4 linked regions of the Arabidopsis thaliana genome follow. The protein of the gene in region 2 interacts with the protein of the main gene of each other region in a pairwise test. Each region holds a gene or a part of one and is shown on either strand. Other genes may lie near its edges. The genes, in order: ADA2A, TRB2, AT5G66000 and AT1G47655.

Region 1 (5,807 bases), on a different chromosome or scaffold from region 2:
TGTTTTGAAAAATCCATATGATGAAGGAGAGATGAAGCAGCTCCATCGTTACGTATCAATCCATAAAAAAATGACTCGATGCAGAGAACTACGAAAGGGAAGAGGATCTGATTATGAGACTGACGAACTGGGACAATCTTATCTAGAAAGTTTCCCTGATTTCGAAAAAGAATACAAGCTTGTGGTTGGTGTTGATAAGGCAAGAGCTTTGAAGTTGCTGCGTGGCTTTTTCTTTTACTTGAAATATGTTTCTCATGATGGTGTTTTCAAGCCTTGGGAGAAGACTCAAAGTTGGCAACCTTAGAAATGGTAAAGCTTTTGGCTTCATGTAGATTAAGTTTTTGGATTTCTGTCTGTTTTTTTTTTTTTCTTTGTTGTTGGATGGCAATCTGATCCAGTGTAGTTTCTTGTAACCAAAGAATCTGGTTTTATTTAGGTTTTTCCTGAAAACTGATGCAATGTCTCAAGACTTTCTGATCTCATATAACAAAAATTGAAGGAATCAGATGAGTGAAGGCATTACAATATTCAGTTTAAACGTTGTATCAAAAAATCTGAAACAGCCTTTGAAGGTCATAACAATCAGACATTGTCAAGTTGTCGAAACTAACAGAGAACAAGATGTGTAACCAAAATCAGCATCACCTTCCTTTATATTTACATGGCTAATATATGTTCGAGAAGTACATGTTAGGACCATGAAGCTATGAGTCATGTTGAGTCACCTATTCCCTTATGAACCAGCATATCATATACTCTGTCTACTTTACTCGGCTCTACTTTGAAGAAGCTATAAGCATCAGACTTTTTCTTTATCTGCCCCTTCTTTATTTCTCTTGTTAAGATATCCAACATCTTCAAATAGTGTACAGGCAGTATTCTGGTCTCATTGCACATCTTCTTTTCCTGCACAAAAAACAGCTTCAATCTCTCAAACCATAGGAATAATGTCAACAAATCAACAAAATCACAAATAAGATGACAAACATCAAGTTTGAAAATTATTGTTCTTACGGTCTCTGAGAGTAAGTCAGCTCCAAGGAGACCATCAACATCCCAAGTGTCCAAACCGCTGTATATTCTTGGAGGTGTGACCTTTGGCAGTGAGTCAGAACCAAAGGGATGCAAATTTCTGGGTAACCCTCTTGGACTTTTTAGTGTTTTACCGGCTATACTGCCTGGTGCACCGTGGTTAAGCCGCAGCAGCATACTTTCTTCAGCTTCCTTCTTTCTCTTCTCTTCTATAAATCTATTTGCGTCTGAAGTTGTCCTGCAACCAGCAGTTCTAGCTTCCTGCAACATTTATTAAAAGCTCAACTTAATGTTCCCACCTAATTGAGTTTGTAATCCAGTACTCAAGCTTGGTAAAATTTTAAGCATCAAACCTGAAGATCCTCGATTCTTCTGAGAATTTGGTGCTCTTCAATGACTTTCTTAATCAGTTCCTTGTGCTCTTCTTTGGATTGGAACCGCGCAAACACTTTACAGCTTTTATATATTTTTCTCTCCTCTGCTGAAAGGCTCATCTCATATTGATCAGGGTACAACAAGTTTCTTTCCAGAACAAATTCCTTCCTCCGCTTCCTCTCATCAAGCCTGCCAACAAAGGCACAATCTTGGCTTGTAGCATTGGCTTATGAAAAAATTCTCCGGTTTAAAAATGGTTGTTCCTGTGATAAGTGTACCTTTTCGAGTAAATACGAAGAACCTGCAGTTTCTGCTCACGCTCAGCATCTGTGTCAGAATCCTTAAATTCCATGTCAGCAAGCAGTTGCTCAGCATCGTTGTCATGTTCGATCTCAAATTCTTCCCTCTTTAGATTGTAACCATATAACTCTGTTACTAATGGAACTTTCTCTCCAGGAAGTCTGAGTTTCTTCTCCCCGACACTCCTGTCAGATTGTTGTTTTGCAGCTAAGACACAAGGGCCGTTAACTACCTTTAGTTTTTGTTCGCGTAAATATCACTTTGCATAAAAACTTGTTCCAGTATATAACAAACCTTCCAACTTGATGATGTCCTTAGCCTGCGGTACATTGCCTTTCTTCTTGACTGTACAATAAAAAGTATTACTTTACATATGGAATCATGGAAGAGATAATATTTGGGGTCGTAGTACGAAATGCGGATGATTTGCGTCCTTAGCCATAAATCTAAGTGCAAATAATGTCTACAATTTTATATAGATAAAAGCATTTTCACATACCTCCAGCTAAGGCAGACAAAGGTGGATCTATTTCATTGACCTTCCCTGAAGCTTCGTGTCTGCCCATGGAAACATAATAGTACTTTTAAAAAGGTGCATTCAACATTGTAAACGTAGGTAAACTATTGTTACAAGCATAAGTATATACTTGATTTCAGCTGACACAGGTAACTCTTCTTTTGGAGATAGCCTCACAAATGCAGGTATTTCTGTGACAAATAGTAAACAGAGCTCAGCATCCTCCTTTTTTCAGTCAAGGTTAATATACGAGTCCCAAATCAACAAGAAACCCCGCTAATAGATTTTAAAGCTGACCTGTTTTGACTGCACTATCTTTACTCATAGCAAGCAGCTCATCTTTGCTCTTTCCAATAGTATGGGACAAGTCCTACAGAGCGGGGAGCTAGAGTAAATAAACAAGCTAGGTTCAACTATCTGACGATCATGTGTTTTCATCAGTCCTTACCGGAAGTGGAAAGCATGGTGACTGCATGTAAGCAGAATTGAAGTGTTTAATACATTCTGTCGTTGTCTTACTACCAACATGGTCTGCAACTTCTTTCCAATTGCCAAACCCGTATGTCGCAATGGCCTAACACAGTCAATTTACTTCCCAATAGTCAGATGGAATCTCTATATAGACATGGGAGTGTACAATCAGAAACGATTAATGATTACCTCAAGAAGGAGTATCTCTTCATCGGCATTCCAATCAGAAGTAACAAGCGAAAAAGACAAATTGTCCTGTCAAACAAAAGGGTAGATTCAATACAAACAAAAATACAACCATAGAACATTTTCTTTGTTTTAAACACAATCACTAATCTAATTACTTTTCAGCTGACAAAGCGTTGAATTGAATTCAAATATACTGCTCGGCGTTGGAAACTAACCATAACACGATATGGGTGACTGTTCTTGTGACGATTAAGTTCAACGCCGACAGAAAAGCATTCCACACAAAGATCAAAGTCCATACAAACAGCACATTTGAAACGAACCAAACCAGACAGATCTTTATCGCAATAGTTACAACAGTAAAGGCCAGGTTTCCTCTCATTCCCAGCTTCAATTCCTACAATGTATTGGTACATGTAAGAACTTTTGGAAAACGCAGCTTGGTACATGATACATCAATGCATATCTATCCACAGCAGAAACTTTAGTCCTATCAGTATCACACCTAATTGCACAAGTAAACGGAAACCTACCGGTGGAAATTGATGCCGCAGCATTCTCAGGACCCAATGATATCTTTTTCCTTTTTGATTTTCTGAAACAGCCAAAATCATCAAAATTAGGATAAAGACAAGAGACGACAGCAGTATGAAATCAAGAGCCACCCACAAGTACCAAAAGAACTCCGATTCAGATAATCAAACACAGCTAAGTGGATTACCAGATATTGAAATGTTTTCGCAAAGACAAGTAAGTAATTGAACAGAGAAAACCCTAGAAGACTTCGAGCTAAGATGGACAAAGAACGAAACTTTAAACGAACCCTGGATTCAGGTCTTCCTCAGCAGGACGAGAAGCTAGTTTCGAACGACCCATCGGCACCAAGCTCGCACTTCTTCCCGGCAGATTGAAGAAAAAACCAGAAGAGCGAGAAAACGCTAAAAAGCAGTGAAAAAATGGTAAGTCGGTAAATGACTAAATTACCCTTAACAAGTGTCAATAATTATGTTCACGCCATCTTTAAACCCTACGGCAGTTGTCAGTGGTCACGTCTCTCTCTTAACCTAACCAATCCAAAGTTGCCGCTAGGGTCACCGGAAAACTTCAGAGTTGTGTCTTCTATTGAATTCTCCGGGAAGGTAAAGAAGATTAGTGGGTTTTGATTGTGCTGTATAAAGATGTGTACTTTGTTTGAGCTGTCTCTTAAACCCTAGCACCAATCCGTGAACCTTGAAGTTTGTCATTCCGGTAGAAATTCCTCAGCAGTTGATCTAATTCGTTCTCTGTGTAGTATTAGTGATGGGGCTTTCTCTTGGGGAACAACATTTCATTAAAGGTGGGATTGCTCAAGATCTTCGAACTGATGGTCGGAAAAGATTGACTTACCGTCCTATCTACGTCGAAACCGGTGTTATTCCGCAGGTAGTGTAATCTCCTAGAGCTCGTCCGCTTCTCATTGTTGCTTCCCAGTTGTTTAACAGATATGTTCTTTCTCTTGTTTTTGTTGGCTCTAGGCTAATGGTTCAGCGAGAGTTAGAATTGGTGGAACCGATGTGATTGCTAGTGTAAAGGTACTTCCTTTGTTCTCTCTGCTACTGTTCTATTGTTGAATGGGAAGTGCTATTGTAGATGTTACCCAGTAATCTTGTGTAATTGCAGGCTGAAATTGGGAGGCCAAGTTCACTTCAACCCGATAAAGGAAAGGTTGCAGTTTTCATTGATTGCAGTCCAACAGCTGAACCGACATTTGGGGTGAGCTTTTCTTTTATTTCGTTTGGTTTTGGTTCTATCTAGCACTTGTCACACCCGTTCTATCGTTCTATTGGTGTTTCTCTTACTAGTGGAATTGTTCAACATGAGATTTTGGTTATCATTACTTTTCTTCAGAATCTCCTAAATTCTACTGTGTTAAGTCTTTAGGCGGCTAATTCTTTGTGATATGTTGTTACTTAGGGGAGAGGAGGTGAGGAATTGTCTTCTGAGCTTGCTTTGGCTCTTCAAAGATGTCTTCTGGGTGGCAAAAGTGGAGCAGGTCTGCAATCATGTTTATGCAATGCTTTTTTTTACCTGCACACTGTTACGCTTTCTGTTTGTAACGTTTATAGCAATTCATGTTTTGGTACCAGGAGCTGGAATAAATTTATCTTCGCTTTTAATCAAAGAAGGAAAAGTTTGCTGGGACCTTTATATTGATGGTCTTGTCATTAGTTCGGATGGGAATCTATTGGATGCCCTGGGTGCTGCCATTAAGGTAATTCTTGTGATGTGTGTTTGGTTTTCTCTCTTAACCCTTAGTCTCAGGTTTTAGTTACGAATGTTAGTGAGTAAATCATACCCATCAATCAGAATCATGAGAAAGGAAAGGCCAGAGAATATAGGAAACGAAAGGGAATGGGTCTTTAGTTAAGTGTATATAGATTAGCTCAATGTAGTTGTCTTGTTATTGGTTTTAGTAGCTTTACGATATGTTTCCAATTGATAGTTTAAGCAACCCAAAAGTCATCTTTCCTCAAGGCTGATCACATGCTTTAATGCACTTGTTGACTATACTCCTGCAGGCTGCTTTAACCAACACGGCCATCCCAAAAGTCAATGTTTCAGCTGAAGTAGCAGATGATGAGCAACCAGAGATTGACATCAGCGACGAGGAATATCTTCAATTTGACACTTCCAGTGTCCCGGTCATAGTCACGTTAACAAAAGTAATCGAATCTCACTTTTCTTGATTCACATCGACATCTTCTTATGTACATTTCGCTAATCTTTTACCATGCTGTCCTTGGTTTTTGCAGGTGGGAACGCATTACATAGTTGATGCAACAGCAGAAGAGGAGTCTCAGATGAGCTCAGCTGTATCTATATCTGTGAATCGGACAGGCCATATATGTGGGTTAACCAAACGAAGCGGGTCTGGCTTAGACCC
Region 2 (4,327 bases):
AATGGACTGATCTTTTTGAGGAGCATCAAGACTGGCTTACTCAAGATAATCTTCATAAGCTCTCGGATCATCTCATTGAGTGTGATTATGTAAGTGAACCAACGGTCTCAAACCTCTCAAAGTCATTGAAATCTCGATGTGGGTCTTCTTCTTCTTCAGCACAACCATTGTTAGCCGTAGATGTAACAACTCAAAGTCAGGGCGAAAAACCGGAGGAAGATTTGCTTCTGCAAGATACAACAATGGAAGATGATAATAGTGCTAATGGTGAAGCTTGGGAATTTACAGAGACTGAACTCGAAACGTTGGGTCTAGAAGAACTCGAGATTGATGATGATGAAGAATCTAGCGACTCTGATTCACTTTCAGTTTATGACATTCTGAAAGAATGGGAAGAGAGTAGTAAGAAAGAATGAAAATGCTTGTAAATTTCCTCAAAATCTTTAGTAGAACAAAATCTCAATTTTTTTGCTTACTCATCTCACTTCAAAATAGTTTCAAGGTTACTAAACAGATCATCCACATACAATAAAAGATCAGTTATACAGAATCTCAGATTCGGAGAAAGAACATACATATGATCAAACTGCGGATTTACACTGTTACTAACCAAAAAAAGAGAGCAGATAGGTTTGGAAACTTAAAAAACTCTGCAGGTGATGAGATATCGCCTGATTCAAGATCGGCACTCTTAAGAAACCAGTAAACCCACTAAGTATATATATTTTATGGCTTGCTTTGTTACAGAACTTCCCCATGATGGCTATTTCTTTCTGTTTCACCAAGGATGATTACGGATCCTGAACTTCAAAGCTTTCATGGCTGCCTTTGCAAATATCTGAGCAGCTTCAGCTTCTGCTTCTGCTCTTTCTGCCTCTTTTGCTGCTTGTTCAGCCTCTGTGATAGCAAATTCTGCCTCTGCAACTGCTCTTGCTGCAGCCTCTGCAGCTTCTTGAGCTGTCATGCCTTTTATCATATATAATTCACCGTCTACTCGGAATTTAGTGAGACTGTTGGCACCGTTCTCCTCGGGTTTTGTTGGGTCTTTCTTGTTGTTTCCTTCCAGAAAGAGTTGAGGAGCCTTCTGTCTTGCACCTGCGGGAATAAAATTAGAAGAAAACCTGTACTTGTGCTTTATCTGAAAGTGAGAAATCACCAAGTAAGTATTTTTGAAAATTCTGAGAGTAATGAAGTGTTAGTGATCATGAATCTTGAATCAAAAGTTGTGTGTTTACCTTAACTAATGTTCCATTCGATGATAAATGCTTTAATCGTACTGCGACATGCCTTTTCATATTCGGTGGAGTCTTGAAATTCTCCTGAAATTTAACAGCTACTAAGTAAGTATGCAACAAACCCCAACCAAACATGTAATCCCAATGGTAGAAATACCTCTATATACAGAAAGATTGATGTTCTGTCAGAACCGCGTAGTTCCCTCAAGTTGGTAATTGCCTCAAAGATGATCTTATCCAAACTACAAAAACAGACAATAGCGCAAGATCAAATCTTTATGAACTCAAGAAAATCGTTATGTGGTGCATAAGTCAGGGAACCAAACCTTGTAATTGATCTCTTAGAAGCACAAGTGCGTGGTGATCCACCACCAGAACCTCCGGGGGAAGTTGGTTTTGCACGTTCATCATCATTAGTCAAAGCCACAATGGTAAGAGCTGTGTTGTTATCATCCTGTTTAGTACCTGGTGGAGTCCTCTTAAGCGCAAGTTTAGCCTTCTTCCTTGAACCCCATAAAGCTGTCACGCTTATATTTCTCCATTTGTCCTGTTATGCCTTGAACTATCAAGATTAGTCCGAAACACGCGATCACAACCTCCAAAAAGCATATTATATTGTATTACCTTAAGATCAACATTAGAGCGAGACTTAAGGATTAAACTAAACTCAGTATCCGAGAGTATGGTACGCCACTTCCCAGTCCCATGCTTAAGAACTCCAGCTTTAAGAGCTGCTTCTTCTTCCGGTGTCCACTTCTGCTTTGGTGCACCCATCCACAGTTATCAATATTTGAATTTCTTCTTTTCTCTGCCAATAGATGTGAACGCTAACATTAGAATCTGTTAAATCGTACGAAACTTAACCACATCAAAGCCATTGTTGAACATTTCTTATCCAATACAAAATTTTGGTCATCTAAATCCAGCAGATACACAAAGCCACAACATAAAAATGTAACTACACAAATCCAAAGAAATTAGATACGCCCCAAAGCTCAATTCAACAAAAAAATGAGTGATTCGAGCAATCTCGAACCAAAAAAAGAGGATCAAAGCCCATTAACAACGTCGCAAATCAACAGGAATTTGGAAATACAGCCATCAATCTAAAGCGATAGCTAAATTATCAACCAAATTCAAATGGGGCGATCGTAGAAAATTAAAAACAAAAATGGAAAATTCAGAGAAGGAAGCAGAAAGGAGGAAGGAGGAGAAGAAGCATGCCAGATCAAACGAAACCAAAGGAGAGTTTTCGAGAGAGAGACTTGATGATGAAAGCTAATTCCTTGTATAGATGTGTCATAGATCAAATGTGATTCGCTGAAACGAACGAAGAAGAAGAAGACCAGAGAGGCTAGCATAAGGAAGAAGAATATCCATAGAAACGAGAAACAAACTTGAGCTTTTCTTTTGTATTCAAGCTAAGGAAGATGTAACCCTATATTTCTCCACATTCACAAATTTGCCTCAAGTTTATCAAATTACACAATAAAACCTACCAACTAAATGAATAGGATCAAGCTGAATAAAATATACTAGTACTATTTTTTAAAAATAATGTATCTATAAAATTTATCGTTGTTAAATCTCACAGATAGTTTAGGGGCTATTAAAGATTTTTCATATAATAGTAAGACCGAAAGCGTAATTTATAAAATTTTGATGGCTAGATTGAAATATGTGTTTTTTTTTTCTTTCTAAAATCTACAGAAGTAGAAGAAACCAAAGCGAAATCAAAAAGCTCAGCAATTTTCCAGATTTCTCTAATTGACGATGGCGCTTTGTGCTACTACTCAAAGGACTATCCGTATAGCGGCGACGCTCCGGCGTGTTGCTCGACCTTTCGCTACTGACGCGGTGGTTGAGTCGGATTACAAGCGTGGTGAGATCGGTAAGGTCTCCGGAATCCCAGAGGAGCATCTTTCTCGCAAGGTAAATAAGCATTCGATTTCTTACGAATTCAGTTTAGAAAATTAGGGTTCGTGATCAGAGAATCGTCTTAATTGAGCTACATCGTGTTCTTGATTTGATTTTGGTCAATCGAATAGTGCTAAGAGTATTGAATTTGGAAATTAACAGGTGATAATATACTCACCTGCTAGAACAGCTACCCAGTCAGGATCTGGAAAACTCGGAAAATGGAAGATTAACTTCGTCTCCACCTTAAAGTATGCTACTTTTTGATTAAGATAATCCTCTTTTCCTCACATTTTATGTCCTAATATGATTCTTATCCTTAAAATTCCTATCTTTTCAAAACTTAAGTCTTCTGCTTGTGACTAGTACTAGTCCATCACTTGTTGATTAGATTTCGATTGACATCACTTATCTATGGCATTCATATGTTTCTAGGTGGGAGAATCCGTTGATGGGATGGACTTCTACAGGTGACCCCTATGCTAATGTTGGTGACTCTGCTCTTGCTTTTGATTCTGAAGAAGCTGCTAAGTCTTTTGCTGAGCGTCATGGTTGGGATTATAAGGTACGTTGTTTCCTTCTTCGTTTTTAGCTCATTTTTTTTTCTGGTCGCATTCACTCACATTTTATGAGAATGTGATGGTTCTGTTTTTTTTTTTTTTCGATCACCATTGTGATGGTTCTGTTTTAAGATCCCTTAATATAGAATTCAGAGTACTGAAAAACTTACATCTAAATCATTGCAGGTCAAGAAGCCCAACACACCATTATTGAAGGTTAGTAACTATCTTTTTGCTAATGCCGCATTATGACTTACGAGCTCTACTCATATGAGGTGTTTAACCCTAAAGCTGGAGATTCACTGGAACGACCCTTGAATGTTGTGTTAAATAGATAGGATATTCTTTAACTTAACTCATATTGCTTCATCAGAAATGGTTTGGTGCCTCTAGTTTAAGATTTAGCTACTAGTTTGACGAGCGATAGTCTCTTTCATTCCTTTGATTTATTTGGTAGAACATTCTTTAGATTGAAGTTTTAACCTAACCCCATGATTGTTCATCATCTAACATCTAACTGCAGGTCAAGTCTTACTCGGACAACTTCAAGTGGAAAGGCAATCCTCAACCAGAAAACTGATGTTACACCTTCTTCCAATTCTTCTCGAGCAAAAG
Region 3 (3,223 bases), 560 kb from region 2:
GTGGTGAGCACTCTGGTGCAGCTGGGCTTAGCAATCAACCTCTTCTTCACATTCCCCCTTATGATGCAACCTGTCTACGAGGTCGTGGAACGCCGCCTTTGCAGCTCCCGTTACTCTGTATGGGTGCGCTGGGCCACTGTGCTGGTGGTCACGCTCGTGGCCCTGCTCGTCCCAAATTTTGCAGACTTCTTATCTCTGGTGGGGAGCAGCGTCTGCGTGGTGCTGGGCTTTGTCTTGCCATCACTATTTCACTTGCAGGCTTTCAAAAACGAGTTGAGCATCACAAGAATAGTGGTAGACGTTCTCGTTTTCCTCATTGGTGTTATGATAGCCATTACCGGGACCTGGACTGCAGTACATGAGATCCTGACATCCAAGGCCTGAGCTTCTTCCATTGTTTATTTTTGTCAGTATGAAAAGAGAAGCATTGTTACCTCCAGCGAACACGGCATTATTATTGTTATTCTGTTACTCTCCTCACTTGTTTATTTGAGTCTTATTACTCTATTTGTAAGAAAGACGCACCATGGAAAACCAATAAGAAAAATACTCTTAGAATCAAGTTTGATAAACACCATTTGCGGCTATTCGCAACAAAGAGACTAAATCAAAACTGCAGAAGCCAAATCATTTGGACTTTGGCCTCCCTCTTTTTCTAGTCACCTGAATCTCTTCTTTTGCTCCTTCTCCATTAACAGATTCGTTCAGTCTATCGGTATCTAACTCCATGCCAAGGCCATCGAATTCCACCCTCTTGGAAACGGCATGCTCTGTATTCAGCCTCTCTCTTGAGCATGTGGGAACCGCACACTGGTCGTCGTTCTTATGTTGACAACTCGAAGAAGAGTTTGAAACTATGCCCTGACTGACGACGCCTCCAAGTTGCAACTTGGAGGGTAATGCATCATCCTTGGAAAACAACAAGTCAGCAGCAACATGCTTCTTCTTCATCTTCTTGTCCTTGTGGAGACATGCGTCTTGTACGAGTCCCTGGTTAGGAGGAAAGGAGGCAATCAAATCTAAAGCGGTCTTAGCAGCAGCAACGGCTTTTGCTGCAGCAGCGGCTTTCTCATCTGCAGTAGCTCTGGCGGCCTTAGCAGCAATAGCAGCAGCGGCAGCAGTACATCTCGAAGCATCTGCAATCTCCTGAGGGGTGAGATCTGGATTACTCAAATGAGAAGCTAAAAGAATGCTAAGATGGTAATCAACATTGGTGGAAGGATGTGGAACTCCATTAGCATCAACCTCTTTTGTCAGCACATTGACGCCTTCCATAATTACACATACAACAAATCTCTCTAACCTACAAAACAAACCCTATCAGATCTTACGCGGATATAAGAGAGAAGCCAACATCGGAGTCTGACGCTAAGATGCATTTCTAGAAAACCGATGAAGTAAGCTTAAGAGTTTACCTTGAATGCGCCTGCGAAAAGAGATAAGAGAAGTCCGCCAAAATTAGGGTTTTGGAGGTCGAAATTCTGAAACTCACAGATGAACGTTTAGGCTTGTTGTGTATTTATACACACACTCACACATTAAAATTAAATTTGAGACGAAGATGATAAAACCCAAGCAGCGAACGACTTTCTTCTTCTCCGACACCAATTTCTTCGCACGTTCTGTTCGGATATTCGCTTTATTACCAGTGCGTGCGCGTCGTTCCGTTTCACTTCCTCCCACAAATTACTTACAGATTATCCCTTTTGTCAAATTGTTTTTTTTCTTTTAATTAGTTGAATTCCTTTTTATTTAGATAATGAAGATGTTTTAATGTAGAAAGACAACAAAACATGCATAATTTATGTAAGTTTTTTTTTCCAAAAATCTTTGTGCTTTTAGCCTAAACATGTTTTGAAATGAAACAGTGGATTACATTTTAGAGGTTGATAGGGAAAGAGATGTCTTTTGACAGGCTGGGAAACCCTATTGCTTGGGCAGCCAACCAGAGAAAACATCAAAGATATGTTCTTTCATGGGATCTCTGTTAGTCGCACTCAGGGAGATTACATTCACTCCCGGTTGGTTCTTCAACCTTGCCACTGCAGACAACAAAGAAGAAAGTAAACTTTGTTAAGGAAAATAGATTAGTGAACTCTATGCAGCTTATCTAGACTGCCAACAGAGGAGGGTGACACATAAAGCCAATACAAGAGTACATCAAAGTGGACCATAGCACAATTGACTACTCAAGAGTTGGAAAAGTGTTCCAAACAGTATATAGATGTGAAGGCACTTTCATAAATTTCAATTTAAGCAGCACGCACGGTTATCATTGGCATCAGGATTGGAAACAACTACAGGCTGAAAACGAATCTAGTTAACAGATGAAACCGAGCTCTGATTCCTCAATAATTATGTTTGATTCCAGATAATGAATTACCTTCAGGAAGATGTCGACCAAATTTTGGGCTAGGAATGGAAGCAAGAAGAGGAACGTTGGAGTCCAAAACATTGAGGACAGCCGGAAAAAAGGATGGACTAAACATCTCCATCTTGCCAACTTCATCAATGATGAAAAGATTGGTATCGTCTTTGACCTTGAAAACCAATGCTAAACCAGTCAGTCAGTGTTCATCTATCCAAATTATCAAGGAAATGATGAGCTGACAGAACACCTGTAGCTCAGGCAAGGCTATAGACTCGAAGGATGCAATGTCCACTTTGTACTTGCCAACACTAGGCCATGTCATCGATTCTTGACTGCCAACAGAGAGAAACAAGTAGCCTAATTATCTGTGAGAGGGAAACTAGAGATTTAAGGGTGAAGAAGGAGAAGGAGGATGGACCTAGAAACAATAGAAGAAGCAAGCAAACTTGTGCGGCCATCCAAAGTGACCACTTGAAAACCAACCCTTTGTCCTCGTTCCCTCATCTCTTCTGTGTGTTAGTTATAACTAACGGTATCATAAAAAAGAAGAAGACTTGATGACTGATTGGTGTTTAGAAAGAGGAAGAGAGAGAGAGCTTACTTACGAGTGTAGAAACCCTGGATTTTTAAGTTAGGGTTGGAAACCCTCATCATATCCAACACTCTCATGATCAATGTGGTTTTTCCGACACCCTGCCCAAAAAGTATTGAAATCCAACAATGAGAAACTGTAAAAGGCGATGAGAGGAAAGCAGGAAGATAAGCAAGCTCACAGGAGGGCCGGTGACAAGAAGGCATTTCCCGGTGCCTGCCATTTTCTGGCCGTTGTTGGTAATAGTAGCCAATAAGGGT
Region 4 (3,199 bases), on a different chromosome or scaffold from region 2:
TCTCCAGTGGCAAAGATGACTACAATCAAGTTGTTATTGAAGATTTCTGCCTCTAAGAAATGGTTCTTAAAACAGCTTGATGTGTCTAATGCTTTCTTGAATGGTGAGTTAGAGGAAGAGATTTACATGAAGTTACCTGAAGGTTATGCGGCAAGGAAAGGTATCACTCTACCTCCTAATTCAGTCTGTCGATTGAAGAGATCCATTTATGGTTTGAAACAGGCCTCTCGTCAGTGGTTTAAGAAGTTTTCTGCTTCATTACTTGATTTGGGTTTTAAGAAGACACATGGTGATCATACTTTGTTTATTAAAGAGTATGATGGAGAATTTGTGATTGTTTTGGTTTATGTTGATGATATTGCTATTGCGAGTACAAGTGAAGGTGCTGCAATACAATTGACTCAGGATTTACAACAGCGATTCAAGTTAAGAGATCTTGGGGATTTGAAATATTTTTTGGGTCTTGAGATTGCTAGAACTGAAGCTGGTATTTCTATCTGCCAGAGAAAGTATGCTCTTGAGTTATTAGCATCTACTGGTATGGTTAACTGTAAACCTGTTTCAGTTCCCATGATCCCGAATGTGAAGATGATGAAGACTGATGGTGATTTGTTGGATGATAGAGAACAATACCGTCGTATTGTAGGAAAGCTGATGTATTTGACAATTACTAGACTTGACATCACCTTTGCAGTTAACAAGTTATGTCAGTTTTCCTCTGCTCCTAGGACGTCTCATCTTCAAGCTGCTTATCGAGTTTTACAATATATCAAAGGCAGTGTTGGCCAAGGTCTGTTCTATTCTGCATCTGCAGATCTTACTCTTAAAGGTTTTGCAGATTCAGATTGGGCTTCCTGTCCAGATAGTAGGAGATCAACAACTGGATTCAGCATGTTTGTGGGTGATTCATTGATATCTTGGCGTTCCAAGAAACAGCATGTGGTTTCCAGATCTTCTGCAGAGGCTGAGTACCGTGCCTTAGCACTGGTTACGTGTGAACTGGTATGGCTTCACACTTTGCTCATGTCTTTAAAAGCTAGCTACTTGGTTCCTGTGTTATATTCTGATAGCACAACTGCTATTTACATCGCCACAAATCCTGTGTTCCATGAAAGAACGAAGCATATAGAGCTAGATTGTCACACGGTTAGGGAGAAACTAGACAATGGCGAGCTGAAGTTGCTTCATGTGCGAACTGAAGACCAAGTAGCGGACATTCTTACTAATCCGTTATTTCCCCATCAATTCGAACACCTTAAATCCAAGATGAGCATTCTTAATATCTTTTCATGCACATCTTGAGGGGGCATATCAGATATGTATATTGGTTTAGTTGGTATTAGTTGGTTTAGTAGAACCATTGTATAGTGTAAAGTATATAAGACATTTGTACAGAATCATTTTACAATTAATGAGAAAAGGCTTCATAATATCTTCAACAAACTTTTCTCTCATCTCTATTCCGCTAATAATTCATTTTAACGAAGTAAATACTATTTTTAAATCCACTCTCATATTTTAACCATTTTTTAGTTAAATTTAATATAGAAGAAATTATTTTTAAAAAAAACTAAATATGAATTAAATTATTTTTAGAAGGGGAAAATAAATTAAATTCATATGTATCAATTAATAAATAAAAGGCAACTGAAAAAAACGTCTAAAAGCCTCTATATAAAAACCACATCACCACTCTCACAACATCCCCTTCTCTTTCGCTTTCTCTCTTCTCTCTTCTCTCCATTAACTTCTCTCTCGTTTTCTCATACTCTCAACTTAATATGCCGTCGGAACCAAACCAAACCCGACCCACCAGAGTTCAGCCCTCAACGGCGGCTTACCCACCGCCAAATCTGGCTGAGCCTCTTCCTTGTCCTCGCTGCAACTCCACCACCACCAAGTTCTGTTACTACAACAACTATAACCTCGCTCAGCCTCGCTACTACTGCAAATCTTGCCGCCGTTACTGGACTCAAGGTGGTACACTCCGTGACGTCCCCGTCGGTGGTGGAACTCGTCGAAGCTCCTCAAAACGTCACCGTTCTTTCTCCACCACTGCCACCTCCTCTTCCTCCTCTTCTTCCGTCATCACCACCACGACACAAGAACCAGCCACGACTGAAGCGAGTCAAACTAAGGTTACTAATTTAATTTCAGGTCATGGAAGCTTTGCTTCTCTGTTAGGTTTAGGAAGTGGAAATGGTGGGTTGGATTACGGGTTTGGGTACGGGTACGGGCTTGAGGAGATGAGTATTGGGTATCTTGGAGATTCTTCCGTAGGAGAGATTCCGGTGGTTGATGGTTGTGGTGGTGACACGTGGCAGATTGGGGAGATTGAAGGTAAAAGTGGAGGAGACAGTTTGATATGGCCTGGTCTTGAGATCTCAATGCAAACCAACGATGTTAAGTGAAAATGAAACCGTTTCTGATTTCTTGCCTTTGTCTTCTTTTGTTGGTGTCTTTTTGGAAATTTCTGTTTGTTTTCTTTTTTTTCCTAGAAAGAAGAGCAAAAGAAACCAAATTGAAGCAAAAATGTTTTTATTTATTTTAGTTTTTGAGGTCCAACAATTCTGGTGTATAAATCCTCTGTTTATGTGACGAACATATTGGAATGGATTTACAAGTAAAAAGTAAAAACGTTTCTTTCTTTTTATTTTGGTTGGTTAATATTTTGAAAGGAATAGTCAAATGTAGAAAGATGAATTGAGCATAAAAGTCCAAAAAGGGAAAAAGTACATAAGTACTGTTGCAGAAGTGAGTAAGAGATGCTCTGTTGCTACATCTTTGAAATGAGGAAATTGCGTTGAACTTAATTTTGTTTGTATTATAGATAAACATCAACAACAACATTGTTCATTTGCAGTGTAGAAGATTTTGTATATCAAAGTCATGTGAGTCTAGTGTTTAGCATATGAGACAATTCATATGAATGCTAAGAACTAAAACCTTTCATTCGATCAATGGATTAGAAATTCTTAGGGTTAATGTAGATTATGGTGTACTTATCAGCTAGTGTTATTTTTTTGTAAAAATCTTTAGGTTTAATCCTTGTGTCAAACATCTCAGCTAGAGTGTACTTGGTTAAACGTTCAAATAAAATTTGAATGTAGGGAATATAGCTAATAGATATTGTTGTGTAGTCTCCTATTGTGGTCAAAGCAAGAAAAACGAATTGTGTTGAATATAATTAACGGTAACT

The links.
Region 1: the proteins of TRB2 (region 2) and ADA2A interact in a two-hybrid assay, tested with the Arabidopsis thaliana proteins (one large-scale study listed by BioGRID).
Region 3: the proteins of TRB2 (region 2) and AT5G66000 interact in a two-hybrid assay, tested with the Arabidopsis thaliana proteins (one large-scale study listed by BioGRID).
Region 4: the proteins of TRB2 (region 2) and AT1G47655 interact in a two-hybrid assay, tested with the Arabidopsis thaliana proteins (one large-scale study listed by BioGRID).

The regions. Positions count from the first base shown.
Region 1 is NC_003074.8:2,469,303-2,475,109, forward strand, and holds ADA2A (ADA2 2A), read right to left. Parts: upstream 3,794-5,807; 5' UTR 3,761-3,793; coding exon 3,708-3,760; exon of another isoform or gene 3,606-3,707; intron 3,480-3,605; coding exon 3,418-3,479; intron 3,335-3,417; exon of another isoform or gene 3,334-3,334; coding exon of another isoform or gene 3,282-3,333; coding exon 3,079-3,281; intron 2,951-3,078; coding exon 2,885-2,950; intron 2,799-2,884; coding exon 2,673-2,798; intron 2,595-2,672; coding exon 2,522-2,594; intron 2,416-2,521; coding exon 2,355-2,415; intron 2,266-2,354; coding exon 2,207-2,265; intron 2,053-2,206; coding exon 2,002-2,052; intron 1,915-2,001; coding exon 1,686-1,914; intron 1,597-1,685; coding exon 1,386-1,596; intron 1,294-1,385; coding exon 1,015-1,293; intron 907-1,014; coding exon 712-906; 3' UTR 529-711; downstream 1-528. Other genes in the region: AT3G07730 (uncharacterized protein), read left to right, coding at 1-304; AT3G07750 (3'-5'-exoribonuclease family protein), read left to right, coding at 4,184-4,306, 4,399-4,455, 4,544-4,636, 4,838-4,916, 5,011-5,135, 5,443-5,586, 5,677-5,807. UniProt on the Arabidopsis thaliana protein: Required for the function of some acidic activation domains, which activate transcription from a distant site. The exact mechanism of action is not yet known.
Region 2 is NC_003076.8:26,955,065-26,959,391, forward strand, and holds TRB2 (Homeodomain-like/winged-helix DNA-binding family protein), read right to left. Parts: upstream 2,711-4,327; 5' UTR 2,460-2,710; intron 2,044-2,459; 5' UTR 2,010-2,043; coding exon 1,860-2,009; intron 1,783-1,859; coding exon 1,562-1,782; intron 1,478-1,561; coding exon 1,393-1,477; intron 1,320-1,392; coding exon 1,236-1,319; intron 1,139-1,235; coding exon 779-1,138; 3' UTR 504-778; downstream 1-503. Other genes in the region: DG1 (Tetratricopeptide repeat (TPR)-like superfamily protein), read left to right, coding at 1-416; FRO1 (NADH-ubiquinone oxidoreductase-like protein), read left to right, coding at 3,009-3,167, 3,315-3,403, 3,588-3,717, 3,899-3,928, 4,236-4,292. UniProt on the Arabidopsis thaliana protein: Binds preferentially double-stranded telomeric repeats, but it can also bind to the single G-rich telomeric strand.
Region 3 is NC_003076.8:26,395,938-26,399,160, forward strand, and holds AT5G66000 (uncharacterized protein), read right to left. Parts: upstream 1,579-3,223; 5' UTR 1,416-1,578; intron 1,304-1,415; 5' UTR 1,276-1,303; coding exon 628-1,275; 3' UTR 530-627; downstream 1-529. Other genes in the region: AT5G65990 (Transmembrane amino acid transporter family protein), read left to right, coding at 1-384; AT5G66005 (uncharacterized protein), read right to left, coding at 1,927-2,042, 2,384-2,540, 2,619-2,703, 2,790-2,880, 2,977-3,064, 3,145-3,186.
Region 4 is NC_003070.9:17,523,656-17,526,854, forward strand, and holds AT1G47655 (Dof-type zinc finger DNA-binding family protein), read left to right. Parts: upstream 1-1,686; 5' UTR 1,687-1,781; coding exon 1,782-2,411; 3' UTR 2,412-2,653; downstream 2,654-3,199. UniProt on the Arabidopsis thaliana protein: Transcription factor that binds specifically to a 5'-AA[AG]G-3' consensus core sequence.